Linked DNA regions of Sus scrofa. The protein of the gene in region 1 purifies or fractionates together with the protein of each later gene. This does not show direct contact. Links are inferred from orthologs where the notes say so. Each region holds a gene or a part of one and is shown on either strand. Other genes may lie near its edges. The genes, in order: RHOA, C14H1orf198, ROCK2, MPRIP, DAAM1, ATP1A1 and MAP3K1.

Evidence for each region.
Region 2: the proteins of RHOA (region 1) and C14H1orf198 purify together in Homo sapiens (co-immunoprecipitation; 3 studies listed by BioGRID and IntAct, with this or other methods). This does not show direct contact. The link is inferred for Sus scrofa from reciprocal best matches to the Homo sapiens genes RHOA and C1orf198.
Region 3: the proteins of RHOA (region 1) and ROCK2 purify together in Homo sapiens (affinity purification with western blotting; 3 studies listed by BioGRID, with this or other methods). This does not show direct contact. The link is inferred for Sus scrofa from reciprocal best matches to the Homo sapiens genes RHOA and ROCK2.
Region 4: the proteins of RHOA (region 1) and MPRIP purify together in Homo sapiens (affinity purification with mass spectrometry; 3 studies listed by BioGRID and IntAct, with this or other methods). This does not show direct contact. The link is inferred for Sus scrofa from reciprocal best matches to the Homo sapiens genes RHOA and MPRIP.
Region 5: the proteins of RHOA (region 1) and DAAM1 purify together in Homo sapiens (co-immunoprecipitation; 6 studies listed by BioGRID and IntAct, counting the BioPlex papers as one, with this or other methods). This does not show direct contact. The link is inferred for Sus scrofa from reciprocal best matches to the Homo sapiens genes RHOA and DAAM1.
Region 6: the proteins of RHOA (region 1) and ATP1A1 purify together in Homo sapiens (affinity purification with mass spectrometry; 3 studies listed by BioGRID and IntAct, with this or other methods). This does not show direct contact. The link is inferred for Sus scrofa from reciprocal best matches to the Homo sapiens genes RHOA and ATP1A1.
Region 7: the proteins of RHOA (region 1) and MAP3K1 purify together in Homo sapiens (affinity purification with western blotting; 4 studies listed by BioGRID). This does not show direct contact. The link is inferred for Sus scrofa from reciprocal best matches to the Homo sapiens genes RHOA and MAP3K1.

The regions. Positions count from the first base shown.
Region 1 is NC_010455.5:31,921,708-31,925,207, reverse strand, and holds part of RHOA (transforming protein RhoA), read left to right. Parts: intron 1-1,376; coding exon 1,377-1,497; intron 1,498-3,500. UniProt on the Homo sapiens protein: Small GTPase which cycles between an active GTP-bound and an inactive GDP-bound state.
Region 2 is NC_010456.5:59,515,258-59,519,553, forward strand, and holds the start of C14H1orf198 (uncharacterized protein C1orf198 homolog), read left to right. Parts: upstream 1-1,496; 5' UTR 1,497-1,548; coding exon 1,549-1,881; intron 1,882-4,296.
Region 3 is NC_010445.4:125,454,073-125,457,572, forward strand, and holds part of ROCK2 (rho-associated protein kinase 2), read left to right. Parts: coding exon 1-54; intron 55-2,103; coding exon 2,104-2,164; intron 2,165-3,035; coding exon 3,036-3,047; intron 3,048-3,500. UniProt on the Homo sapiens protein: Protein kinase which is a key regulator of actin cytoskeleton and cell polarity.
Region 4 is NC_010454.4:61,109,405-61,112,904, reverse strand, and holds part of MPRIP (myosin phosphatase Rho-interacting protein), read left to right. Parts: coding exon 1-142; intron 143-916; coding exon 917-1,424; intron 1,425-3,500. UniProt on the Homo sapiens protein: Targets myosin phosphatase to the actin cytoskeleton. Required for the regulation of the actin cytoskeleton by RhoA and ROCK1.
Region 5 is NC_010443.5:188,506,335-188,508,964, forward strand, and holds part of DAAM1 (disheveled-associated activator of morphogenesis 1), read left to right. Parts: intron 1-534; coding exon 535-705; intron 706-2,004; coding exon 2,005-2,214; 3' UTR 2,215-2,630. UniProt on the Homo sapiens protein: Binds to disheveled (Dvl) and Rho, and mediates Wnt-induced Dvl-Rho complex formation. May play a role as a scaffolding protein to recruit Rho-GDP and Rho-GEF, thereby enhancing Rho-GTP formation. Can direct nucleation and elongation of new actin filaments.
Region 6 is NC_010446.5:104,363,017-104,366,516, forward strand, and holds part of ATP1A1 (sodium/potassium-transporting ATPase subunit alpha-1), read right to left. Parts: intron 828-3,500; coding exon 693-827; intron 176-692; coding exon 1-175. UniProt on the Homo sapiens protein: This is the catalytic component of the active enzyme, which catalyzes the hydrolysis of ATP coupled with the exchange of sodium and potassium ions across the plasma membrane.
Region 7 is NC_010458.4:35,924,301-35,927,800, forward strand, and holds part of MAP3K1 (mitogen-activated protein kinase kinase kinase 1), read left to right. Parts: intron 1-1,911; coding exon 1,912-2,033; intron 2,034-2,608; coding exon 2,609-2,690; intron 2,691-2,796; coding exon 2,797-2,980; intron 2,981-3,500. UniProt on the Homo sapiens protein: Component of a protein kinase signal transduction cascade. Activates the ERK and JNK kinase pathways by phosphorylation of MAP2K1 and MAP2K4. May phosphorylate the MAPK8/JNK1 kinase.

The DNA.
Region 1 (3,500 bases):
TAGAAACTGAAATACAGGCTCCGAAAATGTTAGAGGGAGGAATTCCCATTGTGGCTCCACGATAATGAATCTGACTAGTATCCATGAGGACGTGGGTTCGATCCCTGGCCTTGCTCAGTGGGTTAAGGATCTGGTGTTGCCGTGAGCTGTAGTGTAGTTCGAAGACATGGCTCAGATCCCAAGTTCCTGTGGCTTTGGTGGAGGCCGGCAGCTACAGCTCCAGTTTGACCCCTAGCCTGGGAACTTCCATATGTCGCTAGTGAGCTCTAAAAAGCCCCCCAAAAAAAGATGTTGGGGAAGAAGGATATTCTAGGCATTGGAGGGGCAACTCCTTGAGCCCCAAAGGGCCCCTGAACAGAGGGTTGTAAAAATCTCATTGTGGTGGTAAGAAGTGACAGGGCTGGCTGCAGTGCTGAAAGGGAGCCTTATGTCCAAAGCCCAGGCATCAATTTGCCTTCCTACTGCTGGAAGGTGATCCAATTCCCAGGTATGAAAGGAGAACCTCCTACCTATGTGATGCTTTCATCCAGCCATTCATTCATTTTTTGAGCAATAATAGGCCTATCCTGTCAGCTCAGACCTTGCCTGATACCCAGGATGGTGTCTTTACTTAACCACTAACTGAAATACAATCTTATTTCCACATTGGAACAGAATGATGAGACAAAGTAAGGAAATGGTTAAGTGAGAATGTAACAGGAGTTCCCGTCGTGGCTCAGTGGTTAATGAATCTGACTAGGAACCATGAGGTTGCGGGTTCGGTCCCTGGCCTCGCTCAGTGGGTTAAGGATCCGGCGTTGCCATGAGCTGTGGTGTAGGTCGCAGACGTGGCTCGGATCCCGAGTTGCTGTGGCTCTGATGTAGGCCAGCAATTAGACCCCTAGCCTGGGACCCTCCATATGCTGCAGGAGCGGCCCTAGAAAAGGCCAAAAAAAAAAAAGAGAGAATTTAACAGGAAAAGTTACTTATTTTGATTTTTTCCTATTTTGCTTTGTATACCTGGTGGAATGTTATTTATAATTGATTTCTCTTCTTGTTCATCTGCTTTCTTTCCTATATAGAATGTTATTTATGATTAAATACTTAAAGCTACAAAGTTATTTTAGTTACTATTATTTTTTACAAAGTTATTTTTGACTGAACATTTCGAATTAGGTACTTTATTCAGTTCTATTATCTGTCTATAAAATTTGCAGTTTTGAGAAATTGTAACCTAAAACAGTGTAAATACCTCTTAGCACCTTCAGGTTTGATTCCAATCTGTATTTTACTGTTTTGAACAGTCTGTCATTTGAAGGTACTATGGTAAGTGTCACTTCTTCTGAAAGTAAGTAATGGGATTAACCTGTACTCTATGTTTATTTTTCCTATCATAGGTAGAGTTGGCTTTGTGGGACACAGCAGGACAGGAAGATTATGATCGTTTGAGGCCCCTCTCCTACCCGGATACTGATGTTATACTGATGTGTTTCTCTATTGATAGCCCTGATAGTTTAGGTGAGTAGCCCTGTAGCCTAATGTCTGTCACTGCCTGTGTACTTGGCCGACCTTTGGTTTCTCATGTCCTTTCTGGGCATTTAAATGGCTGAAAAACTGACATGAGCTTCAGAGAAGGAATCATCAGTTGCCAGGGTCCTAGAGCCTTGGGACTGTAGAGCCTGAGCCCCAAATCCCTTTTCAGCTTAGGTCTCCTGTGGCTGCCATGTTCATCTTGGAAGGTAGGTAGGTTCTAAATACAAAGCTATTTTTTAGACTAGGATTTGGGGAAGGATTTTTTGGGTGTTAAGTAGTTGATATTGAGCCTACTGCCTCCCACTGTCTGGACTGCTGATTTGTTGAATCCTCAAAGTGTTTTTGTTTTGTTTTTTAAATTTTTTTAAATTGAAGTATGGTTGATTTACAATGTAGTATTAATTTCTGCTATATAACAAAGTGATTCTGTTATATTGCATTCTTTTTTTTAAGTATTCTCTTCCATTGTGGAAGTATTATGTGCTATACAGTAGGGCCTTGTTATCCATTCTATGTATAATAGTTTGCATCTTGGTAGTGTTTTTAAAGCCGTATTTTAGCTCTTTTATAAAATGTCTCGATAAGCAGTGAGATCCTGCTGTATAGCATTGGGAATTATATCTAGTCACTTATAATGGAGCATGATGGAAGGAGAAAAAGAATGTATATATAATATGTATGTATGACTGGGTCACTTTGCTATACAGTAGAAAATTGACAGACACTGTAAACCAGCTTTAATGGAAAAATTAAAATCGTTAATAATAATAATAATAATAATAAAGTGCCTCAGCTAAGACTTGAACCTGACCATTCCAGTAGCTCAGTTGGCCCCATGTTTCAGAATGTCCTTTCATTTAGAAAAAGAATGAATGAATCTGACTTCACACTGCAAAAACAGGCACCAAGACCTGAAAGAGAACTTGCTTTTGGAGTTCCCATTGTGGCTCATCAGTAATGAATCTGACTGATATCCATGAGGATGCAGTTTCAATCCCTGGCCTTGCTAAGTGGGTTATGGATCCGGTGTTGTGAGAGAGAGAGTTCTGTGGTTCCACATTCTCAGTGACTCCTGCCTTTTGGTAATGTGTTGAGGTCAGAGAGTGAACACTTTACTCCTAAAATACAGCCTTGGAGTTCCTGCCATTGATGCAAAGGGATTGGCAGCATCTCTGGAGCACCAGGATGCAGGTTCCATCCCTGGCCTGGCACAGTGGGTTAAGGATCCACTGTTGCCACAACTGTGGTGTAGGTCACAGCTGTGGCTTGGATCTAATCCCTGGCTTGGGAACTCCATATTCCATGGGGATGCCAAAAAAAAGAAAAAATAACAATAAATGAGGCTCAGTGGACTAATATCCATGAGGTTGCGGGTTTGATCCCTGGCCTTGCTCAGTGGGTTAAGGATCTAGCGTTGCTGTGAGCTGTGGCATAGCCCGGCAGCTACAGCTCAGATTTGACCCCTAGCCTGGGAACCTCCATATGCCGAGGGAGTGGCCTTAGAAAAGGCAAAAAGACAAAAAAAAAAAAAGAAAAGGAAAAAAGAAAATTCAGTCTCAAGTTACAATCAGGACCATTTAAACTAAGTAAGATATTAGTGTTAACCTGTTTTATAGTATCTCTGACCCTGAGATGCTCAAGGTGGCAGATATGGGAAGTTCAACCCAGGCCACTTGTACACCATGGTGTACATACAACCTTTCTAAATTACTGCAGTATTGGCAAGAAGCTACAGCTGTTATCATTTATTTTGATTTATTTATTTATTTTCTTTTTTGGCCAGCCCACAGCATATGGAATTCTGGGGCCAGGGATCAGGTAGGAGCCACAGTTGCAACAATGGATCCTCCTTTAACCCACTGTGTAGGGCAGGGATTGAACCTGCATCCCAGTGCTCCAGAAGTGCTGCCAATCCTGTTGAGTCACACACAAACTCCAGCTGGTTATCATTCATTTTTTAAAGCCACTCAAATCATTTGAAATACCAG
Region 2 (4,296 bases), on another chromosome or scaffold:
CGTTAACCACTGCGCCACGACGGGAACTCCTCCAAGTGTTACTTTAGACGCAAAGCTCCTTAGTAACACCTGAAATACGGTCTTTTTTGTTTTAAATGTGGACATTTAATCTAGTCCGAGACCTGTTACAGTGTTGTGCAAATCAGCCAAGATAGAAAAGCAGACAGGGCTCTGCACAACTTTGATAGATGTATTCTGGGACACACCTGGCCCCCAACTACTGGGATGCCTATGAAACGACTCCTCTACTCAACTACTCCTCTGCCTGAAAACTTTCTGCTGCTCTTCAGTTGGTTTGCAAACATCCAACTGCCAAGAGTTTTGCGATTTCTGAGATTCCAAAGGAAATCTTGGAGAACGCAAAGGCCACTCGGCAGGCTTCGGAAAAACGCCTTCACCTGCAGAAGCAAAGCGAAGAACAGATTCACCAGCCCGCCGGCCCGATGCCTGCCCAGAAGTTCCGAGCTCTCTCCTTTTGGGGAAAAGCGCTATAAGGATAAGCTACCTGGCGCTTCATTTTACTCCTGTCTTTTCAGGAGGCGCGGGAAATGATTTTCTTTAAACACTCCCGACACCAGTCCAGTCTCCCCAGCTCTCTTCCGTGCCCTCGCTGCCCGGCGCCCACCCCTTCTATCAGCTCACCGCTCTGGGACCCTGGCCCAGGTCTTGGGATGGCTCAAAGAAAGCGAAGATGGCTCAACGGGGACAGGGACATGATAGGAATAAGGCGGCCGTTGGCTCAGTCCAGAAATGCCGGGCTTTCTTAAGCACAGCGGAGGGAGAGAAAAGTTTCCTTTGTCAAGCGACCACGTGGCGCTATGGCGGTCACTACCAGCAATCCTGCCAGAACGCCGGGTGCAGACTTGGGGACACGCCAGTCATCTCCCGCGCTGGCCAAGGGAAGCCCCGAAAAGTGGAGGCACCACGGAAGCCGAAGACAGCAGATCTGGAGGATGCTGTGAGGAGCGGAGGGCGGGATCCTTGGGGGGGTGCATGGGGCGGGATTCCCGGGGGTGGGAGGATGCGGGAGGCGGTGTTCCTGAAGGTGGGGGCCGCGGAGGGTGGGGTTCTCGGGGGCGGGGTGGACGGATGCAAGGGGCGGGGTTCCGGGGGTGGGGGCGTAGGGGGCGGGGTTCCCGGGGTGGCACGCAGGGGGCGGGGTTCCCGAGAGTGGGGGCCGCGGAGGGCGGGCCTCCCGGGGATAGGGACGCAGTGGGAGGAGTTACCGGGGTTGGGGCATGAGAGGTGGGGTTCCAGATGCGGGGGGCCCACGGAGGGCAGGGTTCCCCGGGGGTGGGGGGCGCAAAGTGCGGGGATCCAGGAGGAAGAGGTGGGCGTGAGCAGGGCTCCCGGAAGCAGCGGGGCGCGGAGGGCGGGGTCGCCGGAGTTGGGCGGGCACGGGGTGGGACTGCAGGAGGTGGGCGGGCTCGGGAGGCGGGGTTCCCGGGGGCAGTGGGGCGCTGCTCGCGGGGCGGCGCGGGGGGCGGTGCTCGGGCCGCAGGGCGGGGGTGGGGGCGGCGCGGGCGGGGAGCGACGGGCTGGCAGGGCATGGCGTCCATGGCGGCGGCGATCGCGGCCTCGCGCTCGGCGGTCATGAGCGGGAACCGGCCTCTGGACGACAGGGAGCGGAAGCGCTTCACCTACTTCTCGTCGCTGAGCCCCATGGCCAGGAAGATCATGCAGGACAAGGAGAAGATCCGGGAGAAGTACGGGCCCGAGTGGGCGCGGCTGCCGCCCGCGCAGCAGGACGAGATCATCGACCGGTGCCTGGTGGGGCCGAGCGCCCCCGCGCCCCGCGACCCCGGGGACCCCGAGGAGCTCGCGCGCTTCCCCGGGCTGCGCGGGCCCACGGGCCAGAAGGTGGTGCGCTTCGGGGACGAGGTAAGTACGGGCCGGGCCCCTACCCGCGCCCCGAGCGCCCCCGGCCGGGCGGACACCTGCCGGCTAGTGGCCGCCGCCGGCAGGCGCGCGGGCAGGGGCTGCAGAGGAGAAGGTGCAGGACCCGGAGTGGGTGGGAGGGACGGCCCAGATCCGGAGCTCTGGGGGCCGGGGCTCCCGGGGATAGTTTGGAGTATCTCAGAGAGGAGGTCTTTCTAGACCCTCCACCGCGACTTGCCCCGCCGGGCAGCATGGGACCCGAAACCGCTCCCAGAGCTAAAAGGCAGACCGAAGTGGCAAGAAGAGCAAGGGATTAAAGCCAGGCAAACCTGAGTTCTGTTCCACTCTGCCATTTAGCTGTCTGGCCATGGGTCACCTAACCTCTTGGGGCCTCTGTACCCCCGGGGAAACCGGGAATAGTAGTACCCATCCCAGGCCTGCCAGGGAAGGCGATCAGCAAGTTGTATATATATATATATATATTAATATTAATTATATATATATATTAATATTAATTGATGAGCTGTGTGGGGAGCGTGAAATTGTGAAGATAACAAGCAGGAAGAGGTGCCTTCCAGGGTTAGGAGGCAAAATCCGAAGCCCTAAGATGTTTCCGAGGAATCGTGCTGTGAAGCTTTGTTTTGGGAGTGAGCTTGGTGGTCCCGTTTTCCCACCAAAAAGCTAATGTAGACGTTTACACAAGCCCTGGGAAGACTTTGGTACATATAAGGGCATGCATGGGCCTCTGACCTAGACATTCATTGTGCCGGGACTTTTTGGAGGGGCGGTCATTGTGAAGGGAGAAAAGACTCAGACCCCAGGGAAGAAACCTCAGGGATGACCCACACAAAATTGTTCTGTGCTGCCCAGAAAGTTGGTCTTTTTCTTGGGAATGTGGTTACCTAAAACCTGTTGGGTGCCATTAGAATTTGCCTTCAAACTCAACTTTTGCTGTGAAGGTCAAAGTGGGACAAGCAGACTGAGAGGTTGGCATCCTGTGAGGGCCTGGAGGCTGCGGGGAGGAGGGGCTGGGCTTGGAGAGGTTTTCCGAGGAAGTTGTGAACGGTGGAAGGAATTCTAGTTAAGAATGAGGCTTAAATCTGAGTTTTAGGCGTGGGTGTGCTGAGACACTTATTAATACAAAATGTTTGTGGCTATAAACCCACTTGAATGCGAGGGAAGTGTGAGAGGACGGAAATATGCTGCCAGCGTTGCCATATCCTGACAGAATTAAAAGAAAAGTCTCAGAAGGCTTTGCCAGGAAAAACGAGGGTGTGGTAAACGGAAGAGATGAGAATATAGGTTTGAAATATATTCCTAGAGCTGAAACATTTTTAGTGTGAAAACATGCACCTCTCCAAAGACATTTGCAGGGTTGGTGCTCAGATCTGGGTGATGGAAAAGCAGGCAGGCCCTCTTTGGAAAAGTTAGGAATACATGACTTATGCGAAGACATAAACCTGCAAGTACTTAGAGATGTTGGAGCGTGACTGTCATTTTCCCTGAGCTTGCTGTCCGGCTAAGAATATACACATGCCTGCTCATCATCAACAAGCCCAGGCCCTAAAAGGGCCCAGTGTGGCTGATAAGGGAAGAAGACATGGCCAATTTTCTACTCTTGATTCCTTACCTGGGCGTCAGACCAAGCTGTTAGTGAATTTGTGAATCTGTAAACCTAAAGCCATTTAACAGCCAACGGAACTTTTCATTGTGGTCTCTACCTGTCCTTCTGGGAGCAGAAGGGCCCTGGTTTTCAGAATTGAGCTCAGCTTTGTGAAATGGGCTGGGAGCGTGTGTTGGAATGCCTCTGACCAGCCTCTCAGCGCGCATGGCAGAGAGAGAGTTTGAGGAGAGGTACAGAGGGACATTGCCTAGGGTGTATTTTTGCCTGCAGCAAAATACAGTGTGATTTAATTGCACTGGAGTGTCTACAACGTGTTCCTGGTACTTGGCAAGAGGTTGGTAACAGAGTGGACCTGTTGTCTCAGGCCCAGGAGGAGGGCCATTTGTGGAGGAAGGCGGGCTCCTGGGCACAAGGCAAAGGACAAGGTGAGGATAGGCTGCTGGGCAGAGTGGCCTGAATAAGTGGCCCCAGCTGTATCCAAAAGGGCCCTGAACCAGACTGAGGAGGGCAGTCCGACCCTTCCCATTTGCTCTGTCTTCAGATGTGGTTCTCAGGGCCTTCCCGGCTGCTCCTGGAACAGAGAATGCTCCCCAGCACCCTCCAGTGCCCTCCTAGCTCCACTCCATACCCTCCCCCAGCATCTCCAGTTGCCTGCTGATGAATGGGTGCTCAGGTGAACCCCAGCTCTTGCTTTAGCCTGTGTCTGACCTTGGATGATAAACAGGGCGGCCCACGTAGATACTCAGGAAAGACCACTTGGGATACTGGGCTCTGAGGGCCTTTTCCTAAGGCTG
Region 3 (3,500 bases), on another chromosome or scaffold:
TTTCGTGGGAAATCAGCTGCCCTTTATAGGGTTTACCTATTATAGAGAAAATCTGTATGTGATTTGTTTGTTGTGTTTTTATTGTTTGTAGGAGCTATCTATAAAGAGTTGTCTTACTTCGAGACTCTGAATTATAGAAGACAAGGTTAATTTGTTTTAAACTGAGTTTTTTTCAATGAATATTATATGATATTTGTTTACAAATCAGTGTGAGGCAATAGTCTGTATTGTTGGGGGTATGTAAAGTAATACCAAATACCTACTTTTGAAGGAGCTTGTCAACTAATAAGGGATATAATTGTGAGAGTTATATAGGCATAATGAAGGGTAGAATGTGATATTTGCCTTAAGAAAGTTACCAAAAAGATCTGAGATGGTTCCGAAGAAAAATAAAAGTTCTGTCTCATTGGGGCGAGGGTGGGAAAAGTCAGGTAAGACCTCAGGAAAAAGGTAGCATTTTAGCTGAGACTAATGATAAAGGGTTTTGAGTGACTGAGATGTAGGGAGCTTGGGGGAGTATAGTGGCGAGGTGAATAATAGAATCAAAAGTTTGGAATGTAAGCATCTATTGGGGACAGAGTGGTACAGTCCAGGAAGGCTCAAACGTAGGGTAAATGTCACTATGTTAGGAGGACCGTTTGGAGTATCTAATGGGACTGTATTTTTCTTGCCTGTAATTCTCCCATCTGGTGCAGAGCCTATTACAAGATCGTTTAATAAATATTGGTCAACTGGAGTGAGTATTGGCTATAAGATTAGAAAACAGATTGGAGATGGAGCTTAGCGGAAGCTTAATAAAACGGTTGTTGTGTGCTGTGCTAAGGGACTTTAGACTTTGACAGGCATTGAGGGGCCATTGAAAACTGTTCAATAGTTGAGTGAAGCGTTAAAGACATTTAAGAAACATAGATTTGAGAAATTTCTTGTACTTCCATGTATGTAGTGGTTGGGGTGATCAACCATTACGGTTTGGACTGAGGGGTTTACTAGGATGTGGTGTGGGACTTTTATGCTTCACCTGGGAAAATCCCAGCAAACCAGGTTGAGTTGTTCATCCTGCTAATGATAGTGCTCTGAAAATTGTTGTAATGCCGACTAAAATGAGGGTATCAGTGCCAGGCATGTTTATAAACAGTGAGAGAGGAGTTGGCAGTTGAATAGATGTGATGACTTAGGTATTAAGATCTGAAGATCCAAAGGTGTTGTCTTTGAGGGAGTTCCCATTGTGGTGCAGTGGAAACAAATTCACCTAGTAACCAAGAGGATGCGGGTTTGATCCCTGGCCTTCCTTGGTGGGTTGGGGATCCGACATTGCTGTGATCTGTTGTGTCGGTCCCAGACTTGGCTTGGATCTGGTTTTGCTGTGGCTGCGGTGTCGGCCGGCACCTGTAGCTCCAATTCAACCCCTAACCTGAGAACTTGGCATATGCCGCAAGTGCGGCTCTAAAAAAAAGGAAAGAAACAAATGTTATCTTTGAAAAGGAGAGATGTCTCTTTCTAGAAGATTTCTAGAAAAGAAGGATAAAATAGTTGAAGTTCCCGTCATGGCTCAGCAGAAACGAATCTGACTAGCATCCATGAGGATGCAGGCTCAATCCCTGGCCTCCCTTAGTGGATTAAGGATCCGGCATTGCTGTGAGCTGTGGTGTAGGTTGCAAACTCAGCTCAGATCCTGCATTGCTGTAGCAGTGGTGTAGGCAAGTGGCTGCAGCTCCAATTGGACCCCTAGCCTGGCAACCTCCATATGCCGCAGGTATGCCCCCCCCCCCCAGAAAAAAAAGAAGAAGAAGAATAAAATAGTCATAGAGTCATAGGAACTCAAAGGAGAGGGAAGAAAGTATACAGTGCTGCTTGGTGACCCCAGTCTCAACAATGTTGAGGACTAGGACATCCACTAAGAGTGAGAGGCAAGAAATATTTAATGTTTTAAATGGTCGGAAATGATATAAATCTCTAGAGGGGAAAATATTGCTTCCTTTAAAATATGTTGAACTGAAAAGAAAGATAATCTTTGTGGTTGGAATTTAATTCTGAGGATGACTTTGTATAGAAAATGAATTAAAATGACATGCAAAATAATTTCTTTCCTGCTTTTCCTTCTAGGTTATTAAGTGACTCTCCATCTTGTAAAGAAAATGATTCAATACAAATAAGGAAGAATGAAGTATGTATAAATTTTTACTACTTTATTTGTTTTTTTGTCATTTTGCCCTTTTCTAGGGCTGCATCCCACGGCATATGGAGGTTCCCAGGCTAGAGGTCTAATCGGAGCTGTAGCCACTGGCTACACCGGAGCCACAGCAACTCGGGATCTGAGCTGTGTCTGCGACCTACACCACAGCTCATGGCAACGCTGGATCCTTAACCCACTGAGCAAGGCCAGGGATGGAACCTGCAACCTCATGGTTCCTAGTCAGATTTGTTAACTACTGCGCCACGATGGGAACTCCCTTTACTACTCTATTTTAATCACATGTTCAAATATTTTAGTAATATCTGTATTTTAAAAGTCCAGTTGATGCCTCTTTTAGATGGCATTCTTTGTTGCAATTCAGTTCAGCATAGCATTGAAATGATTCATTTATTTGACAGGTATTGTATGGAATCCAGTGGCTGATGAGAAGATGAATTATACATGGCTTTAGGTTTAGTTTTAGTACCAAAAGTGGTAGAATAGGGTTACAAACAGCTGTATTTTCTACCAGCCAGAAAATTTTATCTTAGTACTATAAAATGTTCAGATAACAAGCTATAAGGATTCAGAAATAGTTGAGAGATTTAAATTTTGAGTATTTAGGAATGAATTCACATAAAGGATAATTTTATCAAAATGTTATAGTATTTTATAGCCTCTGTACTTTGTAACTATATACAAAGCTATATCGTGCACATAAATGTGGCTGCTAAACATTTTTCTCTTCAAAACATATAAAAACTAAAAAAATTGGTTGGGTCATTTTGGTATGATTTGTGTTTTAGGAATTTTCACAAAGCATAGTAATCTTTTTGATGTTTTTGTGTTTTGTTTTAAATAGGAAAGTCAAGAGGTATGTTGATGTCGAATATGTTGAAAAACAGACATACTCGTCACTCTAGCAATGTTCTGATGTAACCATATCCTACCTAGCATTTGGAATACTGCATCTACCAAGAGAGAAGTTCCTAACCTTTTTTCTACCAAGTATTTTTTTTATTATTGCTCCTATGGATTTTTTGTTTAAAAATGTATATTGCACATTTTTTGGTTTTTATTTATTGAAGATATATACCTAGCAGCAAGAACTTTTGATTAGCATGTGGTAACTAGTATGATCAAGTTATACTAATGCAGGAGCAACCAAAAGCTGTTAAACTTTACTAGTTCATTGGCCTGTCTTTTCTTACTAGGGAAATAATACAGTTTTGCTTAAAGATATATGAAATATATTAGAAATCATGGAGAACTAATCACTAGAAAGAATAGTGGAAAGAACCTTGCTCTTAGAATCTAATAGACTTGG
Region 4 (3,500 bases), on another chromosome or scaffold:
ACCAAGTCTACACTCTGGCAGGAAGAAATGCGGGCCAAGGACCAGTCAGATGGGAGCAGCCTGAGTCCGGCCCAGAGTCCAAGCCAGAGCCAGCCTCCTGCCGCCAGCACCCTGCGGGAGCCAGGGCTGGAGAGCAGAGACGGTAAGTACAGAGTGCAGAGACGGCACTAGTACAGGCCCCCCGACGGAGTTGGTGCTGGGACTCAGGGCCCGGAGCCCAACCCGCCTTCCAGCTCTTGGGTCCCGTCAGTGAGGCAGGAGGACGTCCCTGCTCGGGGCCCAGCAGGGGCTGCGAGACCACGACTCTGGGCCTTGGGGTCGTGTACGGGGGCCTCTGGGTCCTGTGCCCGGTGCCGCTTCGTGTCAGGGCTGGTCAGCACCAGAGGCCCCGCTGCCCTCGCTGTCCCGTCCTGCCCGGCCCCTGGATGGGGCGGGGGCGGAAGGCCCCGCGGAGGAGACGGTTGGCACTGGTGCTCCGCCTCCTTGCACTTGGGAGGTGCCTCCTCGTCCCCCGCCCGGGCCCGGAGGGCTCTGCACGGCCCGGGCTGGCCTCCCTGTTCCTGTCCAAGCAGGTCACTAGGGCTGAGGGGGCCAGCGAGACTGGCCCTGGTCCCTCAGGCAGAATGCGCTTGGTCCGGCTTGGCCCTCCCCTGGCAACACACACCGCCCATGTCCAGCCCGCTCACCCTCCCGCTGCTGCAAGCCCTCCCCCCGCCCTCCAAGACCATGCGCTCAGCCTGCACGGCCGGCTGGCCCTTGGGGTCCTCCTGGGTGTGTGGCCAGAAGCTCAGCGACCCCTGTTGGCCTGACGGGAGCTGGTTAGGGAGGGCCGGGGGTGGGCTGCGCCCCTTCTTGAAAGATCCTAGGACCAGAGGTGGCGGCAGGCCGAGCACGTCTCCTGTCCCCGCTCTTCCAGAGGAGAGCGCCACGAGCAGCGACCGCGTGGACGGCGGCCGCAAAGTCCGGGTGGAGAGCGGCTACTTCTCCCTGGAGAAGACCAAGCAGGACGTGAAGGCCGAGGAGCAGCAGCTGCCGCCGCCGCTCTCCCCTCCCAGCCCCAGCGCCCCCAACACCAGGTACAGTGGCCCCGGACCGCCCTCCCCGGAGCCGGGTCGTCCCCTTCCTCCGCCAGGTCCACAGCACCCGGGCCGAGGGGTCTGCAGCAGCTCCTCCCTGGACGCGGCCCGCCGGCCCCAGGCCCACGTGGACTCCGGCAGCACCGGCAGGCGGGGAGCAGAGAGACTGGGGCCCGCCTCCGCCTTCAAAGCCGGCAGGCAGTATGCCACCCTGGCCGACGTCCCCAAGGCCATCAGGATCAGCCACCGAGAAGCCTTCCAGGTGGAGAGAAGGCGGCTGGAGCGTAGGACACGGGCCCGGAGCCCTGGCAGGGAGGAGGTGGCCCGTCTGTTTGGCACCGAGCGGAGGTAAGAGGGGGCTGGAGGGTCTGGCGCAGGCACCGCAGCGCACGCCCTCCCCACCCTCAGGGCTTTCTGCGGACACTCGCACACGCTAGTGGCACACGTGTTCCCCCCGCCCTCCCTCGTCCACACGAGAGCCTGGGGAGAGGCGGGGCTTGGAGGTGGGCCCGGGACTGGGTCAGGTGGAGCCGTGGGCCTGGACTGGGTCTCAGGGTGGGGGCCCCTGTGCGTCCCCGAGAGCTGGGGAGGGAGTGTGGCTCCGTCCCTGAGGCCTACGAGCCCAGGCCTGCCCCAGAGCGCCCGAGGACCCCTCCCGCCAGGGCGTCCACCCCCAGCTGGACTGGAGCCTCTGCCCGGGGCGTGGGGGGGCCACCGGAGGCGCGGGGACCTTGCCGCCGTTGGAGCATCTGCATGCTTTCGGGGAGCAGGGAGAGCAAAGCCTTTTCAAAGAGGTTGCTTCTAGGAAGGAGGGTCAGACCCAGGCTCCAGAAGCACCTGCAGCATGTCCTCCCCGTCCACCCCGAGCTCAAGCCCAGCTCAGAGTTGGGGCACGCTATGGGGACAGACCAGGGCGGCCCGGGCTCCCTGCCAGGAGGCCGGCTGGGAACAGGATGCTTTGCTCTCCTGCCCCCTTGCTGCTTACCACCCACCACCTCCTCGGTGTCCCCTCCAGGTTTGGGGACCCGTGACTGGGGGGAGAAGGGGACAGCGTGCTTAAGTCCTCATGAGAGGCACCCTCCCAGCCGGTCTGTCTGCCCGGGGCATCAGCAGCCATCCCAGCACATGGGGGCAGAGACGGGGTCGAGAAGCAGGGGACACCTCAGGGGGACAGCCTGGCCCAGCAGAGCTGTGCCACCGAGCCCAGGCCCAGCCCGGGAACGGGAGGGCCCTGCTCCTGGGACAGATCCGGGGTGAGGCCAAGGCTGTCCTTAACTCACGTAACTGCACGTGAACGGCTTGCCGGCTGCAGGAGGCCACGGGGCCTCCTCGCTGCGTCCTGCAGGCCCCTGAGTGGGCAGCCACACCTGGTTTGGCGGTGACCAAAGAATTAACATTCAGCACACCTGCTTGGCTTAAATCCCTCTCGGCTGGCGGCGTGGGGTAGACGGCATCTCTGGGGCTTTGCTTTCCGCCTGCTCTTTGCCACCGTGGGGGTGGGCCTTCCCCTGTGCTGGCTCCCTGAGCCCCTCACCTCTGTGTCCTAACGCTGTAATGTCACTTTCTTACTGACCCTGATGACATCTGACTGGCTGTTGTCACTTTCCGAGGCCTGCTCTCTGGTCCTGAGTAGCCCCGCAATGTCTGTGTAGAACCGAACCCCAGATGGCAGGAGGTCGGCCACCGTCCCCAGAGGCGCAGCTGCCCAGGAGCCCGGCTGGGGGACCTCGGGGCTTAGTTTGGATGGGCCGTGGCCCTGAAGGGGTCCACCGACGGACCCCGGAGCCTGTGAAACACTTCTTGGGTTGTGAGCCAGTGCCGAGCGAGCGTGGGGAGGCGTGGCCTTTGTTGAACTGCTGGTGCCCCGCACCAGGGCCAGCTGCCCGTGGTCCCAGCTGCCCCTCAGCTAGAACCTGGGGAGGCGGATCTGTCCGTCACTAGCCCCTCCGAGAGGCTCTGCTGTCCTACCTGCAGGACTCCAGGGGACCCACGATTAAAAGGCCCCCCTGGGCACAGTCAGCCAGGGTCAGCTCACCAGAGCCCCGCAGGGGCTGCGCCCCTCCTCTCAGCTGACCCCGCGCTGCCCTGGCAGTGCTGTGGCAGGCGATTCGCATGTGACCCGGCGGGCGCTGTTCCCCAGGGCCCTCCCGGGCTGGCCAGGCCGGGGCCGATGGGGAGAGCTCTTGTTGCACATGCGGCTCCAAGGCCTGAGCGGGCCCGGGACCTCCTCCAAACCACCCACAACCGTCAAGGACGGGATGCCTCGGCCAGCCCGCTTACGCCGCTACCTGGCTTCCTGCACTCATGCCACGCGCCCTCTCCTGCCGCCCGCCTGCCCGCCCTCGGCCGCGCCTGCCCTGCTGGCCCCTGGCTCGGCCTGGGGGCATGGGTGGGAGCAGAGAGCCAGGTGCCTGGGCTCTGCCC
Region 5 (2,630 bases), on another chromosome or scaffold:
TGGGGTTGTATTAATGATTCCATAATTGGCTATTTTCTAATCGAGACCCAGGAAATATAGTAATACCAGCATTATTTACGATTAGGAAAAACAACTAAGAAACAATGTATCCCATTTGCTTTTGATATTAACCACATGGCACCGATGAGTGATATTAAAGTACTTCAAAGAAAAGCTAAAAGTACAAAGTTCCCTTACCCCTGCTGCGTTTGCCATTAGTTTTACGTCCTTAGTGCTCTGCCCTACCATATTCTGCTTTCTTGTTTTTACTACTGTTTTAGTCAATAAAAAGTCATAGGATGTAATCATAGGTGTTAAGCTGAAATGAGGTGGAGAAGAATCAATGGTCTCCAAAGTCAAGGAGTATTAAATTTCCTCCTTTAGAAATGAGAGTCATGTTCTACAACCAGAGATAAATCCCGTGCCCTATATTTGACTCAATTTGAGCTTTAGCCCCTCTAGAGAGATTTATATTTATTTGATCATGGCATTCCCATGGAACACTGAACTTCGTAAAACCTTCTTTTTTTCCAGTTTACTAAAGCAGTGAAACACTTTGGAGAAGAGGCTGGCAAAATACAGCCAGATGAGTTCTTTGGCATTTTTGATCAGTTTCTTCAAGCTGTGTCAGAAGCCAAACAAGAGAATGAAAACATGAGAAAGAAGAAGGAGGAGGAAGAGCGCCGAGCGCGCTTAGAGGCTCAGGTAGGAGGGTGATTAACTTGCCAGTTCCACCTCCTGGACGTTCTGTCACCTCATCTCCTTGGTTTTCAGAAAGCATTCTGATGTGCTGACAAGGCGGGCATCAGAGATGCTCTTGGGAGCTTCCATCAGTGGAAAGTCGGCAATGTGACAGTATATATCTAAAGCCTGAAAAATTACATCCACATCCTGTGACGTGCAGTTCCACTTTTTAGAAATCATTCTAAAGAACTCAATCATCATAAATGTGCATGAAGAGACCAATAACCTTTATAATAAGCCCTAACCTGGAGACAACCTGGGTATTTACCAACTGGGCATTAGTTAAATGTTGTAATAGCTACATAATGGAATATTTGGCAGTCCTTAAACTTCATGTCTTTAAAGAATAGTTAATGATGTGAGAAAGCTTATTTCTACATGAAATATCTGTGTGTGTATAAAGTTGTGTTAATGCTGGTGGGATATATCCCCAAAAGGTTCATAATGGTTATCTCTTGATAGAATTAAGGATGATTTTTCTCCCCTGTGTTTATCTGAAGATCTAAATGTTCTATAATGTATGCGTATTATTTTGCTTTTCATAAACATACTCTTTAGTGGGTTCCAGGCATCCACAGTCAGAAGAGCCTAGGCCTTTGATGTCAGCAGCATGGCCTAATGAGCTTTGGCTTTAGTCTCTATACCATCAAAGCAGCCGATATTTGGGGTCAGTTTAACTGAGATAACTTTCTCATTCCATCATAGAAGAGTGACTAGCCTCAATTCCTTTTTTTTAAAAAACTAGACTATCATGAGTTTTACATAGATTCTAAACAGTGAGAGTGTAATCACAAAGGAGATGGTCAATTTTTTCATTGTTCCTTGTTTTTTTGGTTTTTTAGGGCCATACCCACTGCATATGGAGGTTCCCAGGCTAGGGATCAAATCCGAACTGTAGCCACCAGCCTATGCCACAACCACAGCAACGCAGGATCTGAGCCGCATCAGTGACCTACACCACTGCTCATGGCAATGCCCGATCTTCAACCCACTGAGCAAGGCCAGGGATCGAACCTCTTGGATGCTAGTCAGATTTGTTTCCCCTGAGCCACAATGGGAACTCCTCATTGTTCCTTGCTTCAATGATGAGATCTCACATCCCAATCACCCTCTCTTGTGACATACAAAAGGGACGGCAGTTGTCAGTGAACATGACTCATTGTGACCGAGCCTCGGCCATGTTCCACAGAATTCGTCTCCACTGAACGCAAAATACAGTGTTTTGACACTTCTCTAAGAGGTTGCTTTCCATTTTCGCAGCTCAAAGAACAACGTGAAAGGGAACGGAAAATGAGGAAGGCGAAAGAGAACAGTGAGGAGGGTGGAGAGTTTGATGACCTGGTTTCAGCTCTGCGCTCAGGAGAAGTGTTTGACAAAGACCTTTCTAAACTCAAACGGAATCGCAAGCGTATTACCAACCAGATGACAGACAGCAGCCGTGAGAGACCAGTCACAAAACTCAATTTCTAATTTTCCTGGAAAACATTTTTAGAAAGCTCATTAGCAGCCCTTTGAAGTGACTAGAACTTTTCATTACACTGCCTTGCAATCCAAACAGTGGCAATTTCTCCTTTCATCTGTGAGTGAGTGGATGTGTGAATGTGTATGTAAATGTATGTGTGTGTATATATTAAGAAATGTATATAGAAGTCTGAGTGTTGTCTGGAGACCTATATGTTTGGTTAAAAAGAAAAAGAAATCTATGTTTATGTATGTGCTCAGAACCCCTTTGTATATGCATTCATATTGAGTGTGGCTCATCTTCCCCTGAACGACGACTGTTCAGAAGCACAAAACTCTCTCCTGAAAGAGAGAAACAGAGACATTCCCTAGACTAAAAAGAAAAACAAAAGAAAAAACAAACAAACAAAAAAGCTTGAGAAATA
Region 6 (3,500 bases), on another chromosome or scaffold:
GGCCACCCAGCTCCAGGTAGGCGTTCTGAAAGGCGTCCTTCAGCTCCTCGTCCAGGGGCTGCTCCTTGCCGTGGATGAGGATGGAGCTGCAGCGGTCCAGGATCCTTTCTGGAGCACCTTTCATCACCAGCAGGTGCCGGGGCTCAGCCGTGTTGGGGTTCTTGTGGATGGACAGCTGGGAAGGACAGTGGAGGTGTAAATGCTGGATGGCCGGGCGTGGTGGCCCCAGGAGGCAGCTGCACTCCCTTAACTATTTAGGGCCTGTTTTGAAAAAATACCCAGGATCCCCTCCCCCGATGAAACACGCTTTGAATGCTACGCAGGAACCTCGCACGGTGAGGTGCTCATATATCCCTGACATACGTTCAGATCCAGAATTTTCCAGAAGAAAATTCAGAATGAAGGGATGGCACACACGTGTGCACCTGCGGCCCTACCAAGCCCCCTCCCCCCAACACCATGCTCACTCCGACCCCCACCTGAGAATGCAGAAGGGCCCCGACTACATTTTAAAGGAGGCTTCATTTATCCCACTGATATTCAAACAAACCAGAACGTTCTTTCTACCTGCAGTCAAGGTAAGACATAAAGCTAAAGCATTTCTGAAAAGCGTGCGTAATTCATTTTAAGAAAGCAGTTGCGCGTGTACAATTCCCAAGGGGAAGACGGTTCTCCCAGCTCCATCTTCGGACCTGGTACTTGTTGGTGGAGTTGAAGGGAATCTCGACGATCTTGGTGTATCGCTCCCTCATCTCCTTCACGGACCCGCAGCACAGCTCGATGCACTTTAAGAGCGCGGACTCGGAGGCGTCGCCCGCCACTGCCCGCTGCAAAAGAGACCCTCTGTTAGTCCCCCTGCCAACAGGAAAAAGGAGGGGGAGCTCGGGCGAGGAGGCGCACAGCTGCCGGGAGTGACCGGAAGCATCTCGGCCCTTCGGAAGCAAACTGCAACCTCCTCCTCCTTGCCAGCGGGACTCCCCCCCCGCCCCAACTTGGTGCCTGAAGGTGTCACCTCCCCGTGGGAGAAGGCCAACACCCCTCCCCACCTCCTTCAGTCTCTCGTTTTAAAAAAATTTTATTGAAGTATAGTTGATTTATGCGGTTGTGATAATTTCTGCATCATACGCACATCCATTCTCTTTCAGATTCTTTTGCCATGGAGATTGTCAGAGAACACCTGGTACAGTTCTCTGTGCTATCCAGCAGGTCCTCGTTGGCCAATCCGGCCTCTTTTTTTTTTGTTTTGTTTTGTTTTTTACTTTTCCCAGGCCTGCGGGGAAGTCTCTGAGCCAACACTATTCCCAATCACCTATTTGGGGTTAGGAATCTAAAAGTGGAGAGTGAGTCAATACGGCACGCTTCTTCGCCCTGCAGTTTAAAAGAAGATGCCTTGGGTTCTCAGGACCACAGGCAAACTGTCTGTGTCAAGGGCAAAGCCGAGGACTTGACATTCCCAACATAATTCAATTGTGCAGAATTATCTGGGGCTGAAGGGTGCGGACTGAAAGCTATGATGAGCTCCAATGGTCATGTAATCAGCCTAACGTTTTAGCGAATGCCCCCACTTCAGGTAACACATAGTTCGTGTGATGTACTGTGACACACTTACATGGTGACATAGACTGAAAACATTTCCAGCTATCGCCAACTTATACAGAGAGAAACATTTTTGAACTCTGGCATGCCGGGCCGTACATGTAGATGAGCAAATTAATGCCCACTTACAAATGCAGCAGCCTTGTTTAATAAATGTGGCCAGGTTTGGTGAGAAGCATAAAAGAAGTGGGATCATTTTAGTAAAAGGCCACAGTTATTGAAGCAGAATAGGCCTGCATGGTTTTTTTTTTTTTTTTTAATAATGCCATTAAAATAACATGGACCCAGAGTTCCCTAGTGGACTCAGCATTGTCACTGGCCTGAGAACTTCCATATGCCTTGGGCATGGACAAAGGGAAAAAAAAATATATATATATATATATATATATCCCCCCAAAACTCAAAAAACAAACAAACACCCCATGGCCCCAAGCCCCTGAAATAATTAGAAATATATCACATGCTACCTTTCTGGAGCTTTTTTTTTAATTATTATTTTTTGCTTTTTAAGGCCCACCTGCAGCATATGGAAGTTCCAGGCTAGCGGTCAAATCGGAGCTACAGCTGCTGGCCTACACCACGGTTACAGCCAGGCAGGATCCAAGCTGCATCAGTGACCTACACCACAGCTCATGGAAATGCTGGATCCTTAACCCACTGAGTGGAGGCCAGGGATTGAACCCTCATCCTCATGGATAATAGCTGGCTGGGTTCATTAACTGCTGAGCCATGGACGGAACTCCCTCTGGAGCTTTTAAATGAGGCAAGGTTTGATACTTGTGAGTCTCTGTGCTCATAGGCTAGAAAATTTCCACTTTGAGGTAAGGAAAAACATGAAATGAGCATCTCAAGTTTTATCCCAAGATAAACAATATCCTCCTTAAATCAACGTCAATTCAATGCCAAGAGATCTCCTTTACGGAATCAAGGAACCCCATGTTCAAGCCACCCCAGTTCCACCAGAACTATATTCGCTGACCGCTTGGCTTCTACCCAGAACCACCACAGGGGGCGTTGGTGAGAGTGAGCCCACCCAGAGGGCCCCACACAACTCTTTCTCACCCTCAAGGACCCTGTGCAGCTCGTGACCTTTCTGGGTCTTCGACTTTTACTAAGCAACACAGTAAAATCTCAGTCATTTCAAATTTCATGTGAATTCCATGAGGCTGAGTTTATTTTTGCATCATTAGTAGGCAAGCTAAGAACAAGATAAGAGAAATAGCTGAGCTATTTTAAGAAAATAAATGGCTTACGAGATTTACTGGAATCTACCGTATCCTAATATGCAAATGCGATTATTGAGTCACACAAGCAAGGAGCCCTCACTGTCCACTAGGTTAGGGGATTATCAGATAAATTCAAGAGCAGTCAAACTGGATTTTGGGACTTAGGTTTTTTCCACCAGTAAAGACTGCCTCCCCCCTCCCCCAAACCTCCTCTGGTCATTTTTTTTTTTTTTTTTTTGGTCTTTTTAGGGTTGTACCCCCTGCACATGGAAGTTCCCAGGCTAGGGGTCGAATCAGAGCTGCATCTGCCACCCTACACCACAGCCGCAACAACACCAGATCCGAGCCACGTCTGTGACCTACACCACAGCTCACGGCAACACTGGATCCTTAACCCACTGAGAGAGGCCAGGGATTGAACCTGCGCCCTCATGGACACTAGTCGGATTTGTTACCGCTGAGCTACAATGGAAACTCCTCTGGTCAGTTTTTAACTATATATTCCCCCCTTTATGGACCTATTTGGACCACAGGTACTGTAAATCCTTTGGGATCTACAGGCAACACAACTCATTACACACAGCAAAGCATCCCATGGACTGTTCCAAGTGTCCTATGGTGAAGTTACTTTAAAGCCCCCCAAGGTCATGTGCCACTTAAAACACACACACATATAGG
Region 7 (3,500 bases), on another chromosome or scaffold:
TGATAAATCTGCTACAAACTGTTCTGTGATTTTGGGCAACTTATTTATAATAACTCAGAATCTTGTCTTTATGTTGTAATGGAAATACTGATTTTAAAAGCCACTCATCACATCCTGAAGGTTCAAACAAAAATTTGTAAATAGAAATAAAACCTTGCCCTTCATTCTGGGCTGCACACAAAATAACTTGTTAATAGTTTAATACATCTTTTAAAAATTAGGAGTTATCTTGTGGTGCAGCGGGTTAAGGATCTGTTATTGTCACTGCAGTGCCTTGGGTCACTGCTGTGGCACAGGTTGTCCCTGGCCCAGGAACTCCCACATGCTGCAGGTGCCCCCTCCCAAATTATAAAAAGCAAGGAATTTAAAAACTCTTCTCTGTACTCTGTGCTTATGCAGATTCACACACACACCAATACTACTCTCATCTTTCTTATTTTTAAATAAATATAAAACTATATATTTTAATCTGCAACTTTTTTTTTAAATTTAAAAAATGTTTTTACTTTATATATCAAGAAAATTTTCCTCAATACAAAAATATACACTACTTTCTTTTAGTAGCTGGCTACATAAGACTGAATGGATGAGACACAATATATTTTACCATTGCCATAATTAATGGACATTTAGTAACACTTTTGATTTTTTGTTTGCCTGTTAAATGCAAAAAATTTTCTTTTTTGTTTACACACAAAATACTTCTGTAAGACAGCATCCTAGAAAATAGGTTTTTTTTTAGGTCATGGGTATATACATTTAGTACTTGAAGAAATACTAGCAAATTCCTTTCCAAAAATTTCAGGTTTTTTATTCCTACCAGTAATATATATGAGAACCTGTTTTCCTGTGCCATTATCAACCTATTTAATTTGTGTGGGTCAGATTATCCTCCACCAACCCAGAAAAAAAGACAAATAAAATAAGATAGAGCTTTATTAATTTAACATGTATTTTGTACTTTTTCCAAATTTATTGGCTACTGGTATTTTTCATTTATCTTCTTTTCTCATTTTACTGTTAATATTTTTTTTACCAATTTTAAATCCACTTCGTATAATAGGAATAGTCAAATATATATAATTCAAATATACATAATAAAGTTATAATTTTGCCATAAATGGAATCATTCTAAAAAAGCTAGAATTCTGTCATGTTATCTGTTGTTTTTCACCATACAGCATACTATGGATATTTTTCTTTGTCATCATGCATGGATCTCTTTGATCCTTTTCAGAGACTTCATAGTGTCTTGGTGTACCATTTTTTTAAAACACTTTTTGATGTTCACTTGGTTGATTTTTTTTCCAATATGCCAAATAATACTGCAGTGAACATTCACACAAATATATCTTTATTATTTGTGTCCATTCCCTTATGATATATTCCTTGAAGGCTAGTTGAAAGGTTATATGCATTAAAAATGTGATATATTTGTTTCTAGGAAAGTTGGATCAGTTTATAAACCTACCAAAAGTGTCTGATATGGGTCTTAATACTTAAGGATGTGGAATAGATGAGCTCTGTGGTTCTTCCAATACTTGAAATCTTGAAACTGTTGGCATATAGTATGCTTGTACATAGTTAAACCTTATTAGCAGTTTGTTTATTCAAAAGGTCCAATAACAGAATTTTGGGGACACATATTTCTCTTAAGATTGTAGTTCATATATTGAATTATAGTCATAGCAAGAAAAGGTTAAACCATACCCACAACCTGTAAATTCATAATGGTGTGAATCTGATTCAGAATTACTGTGTATTAACAGGAGAAATACTTCTCTTATAACCTATACAAGAATTTTAAATTATTTTTCATAGTCCAAAGAAACCAAAATTGTTTTTAGCAATATGGCATTAATTCTCTTACATTCTTTTGTGGATAATGCTTTTGTTTCCTCTTCCTTATAGTATAAAAGATGAAGAGGAACAGATGTGTCCTATTTGCTTGTTGGGTATGCTTGATGAAGAAAGTCTTACAGTGTGTGAAGATGGCTGCAGGAACAAGCTGCACCACCACTGCATGTCAATCTGTATGTGGCTTTTTTTTCCCTATGCTTATTCAACACAGTTACTCTGTGAGCTAACTATGATTCAGGACTTGAACATAGCCTCTGGGGAGACTAGCGAGAGAAGGAAAGAAGTATATTTACGCTATATGTGAAGTTTTCAATGAACAGTAGTTCAGGATCTCTTAGGAGATGAACTATGTGAGCAAAGAAATGTTAGAAAGTGTGACACGTGTGGTAGTGGAAGTCACTCACAGAATTAGAGTTGTGATCTGGAAGGTGCACATTGGGGGAAGGAGGTGTAGGAAGGCCTGGACAGGCGTTCCAGAAAAGGTAACATCAAAGCAAGCTCTGGAATAGCATTACCAGTTTATCAAGTGGGCAGAATGTTTTGAAAGAGAGTCCATAAAATACATCTTATATAACTTAAAAAATAGCATTTGCAGAAATTACGAGCATTAGAATAACCTGCTATGTTTAGAATTTTTTGAGGTTCCTTCCATATAAATTCTAGATTAACCATTATGAACAATTATTACATAAATACTTAATGTTAAATATTTATATTTTTGTCAGTGTTTTTTTCCTTAATTTTTCAGGGGCAGAAGAATGTAGAAGAAATAGAGAACCTTTAATATGCCCCCTTTGTAGGTCTAAGTGGAGATCCCATGATTTTTACAGGTAAAAATTATGAATTAATGATTTGGGTATGTTTAATAAAAATGCTCTCAGAGTGTTATTTAAATCCGTTAATTTTTTTAGCAAGCTTTGTTAATTTTTCATTTAGCCATGAGTTGTCAAGCCCTGTGGATTCCCCTTCTTCCCTGCGAGCTGCACAGCAGCAAACCACACAGCAGCATCCCTTAGCTGGATCACAACGAAGGAATCAGGAGAGCAATTTTAACCTTACTCATTATGGAACTCAGCAGATCCCTCCTGCTTATAAAGATTTAGCTGAGCCATGGATTCAGGTAAGTAGTTCTTATTCTTCAGTTCTCCATGAAACATTTATAGACCAATTAATGTAGTTGTCTCCCCAGTTGTTTATAATTTAAGAAAGTACTTTTGCTTATCTCCATCATGACTCATTTCATTGAGAATTTTCATTTTACCTTTGGTGTTAATACTATGCCACTTACAGAGTTAAACTTCAAAAATTCTTTGTAGTCTTACCTCCCATCTCTAGAAACATCTTCCTGAACTGACAGACATAAACATTTACCCAAGGATAGAGGATCCATTTAATAGTAACTTGTCCCAGTGTTTAATCCCATTCCTTCCAAGAATTTCTGTCATTTTCTTATTTGCTTCCATTTAAAGTCAGTTTCTTCTTTCTGTATTTTTCATGGTATATGTTAGGTACTAAAAAATTGTTAAATGGATGAGTAAGAAAAAATATGTGGTATTTGCCTTGTATTAGTCATTTTTATTTGTAAGGACAGTTTCCATTCCTTTACTTTCTCTTCTGCTTAAATGCTTTTTCATCCTCAG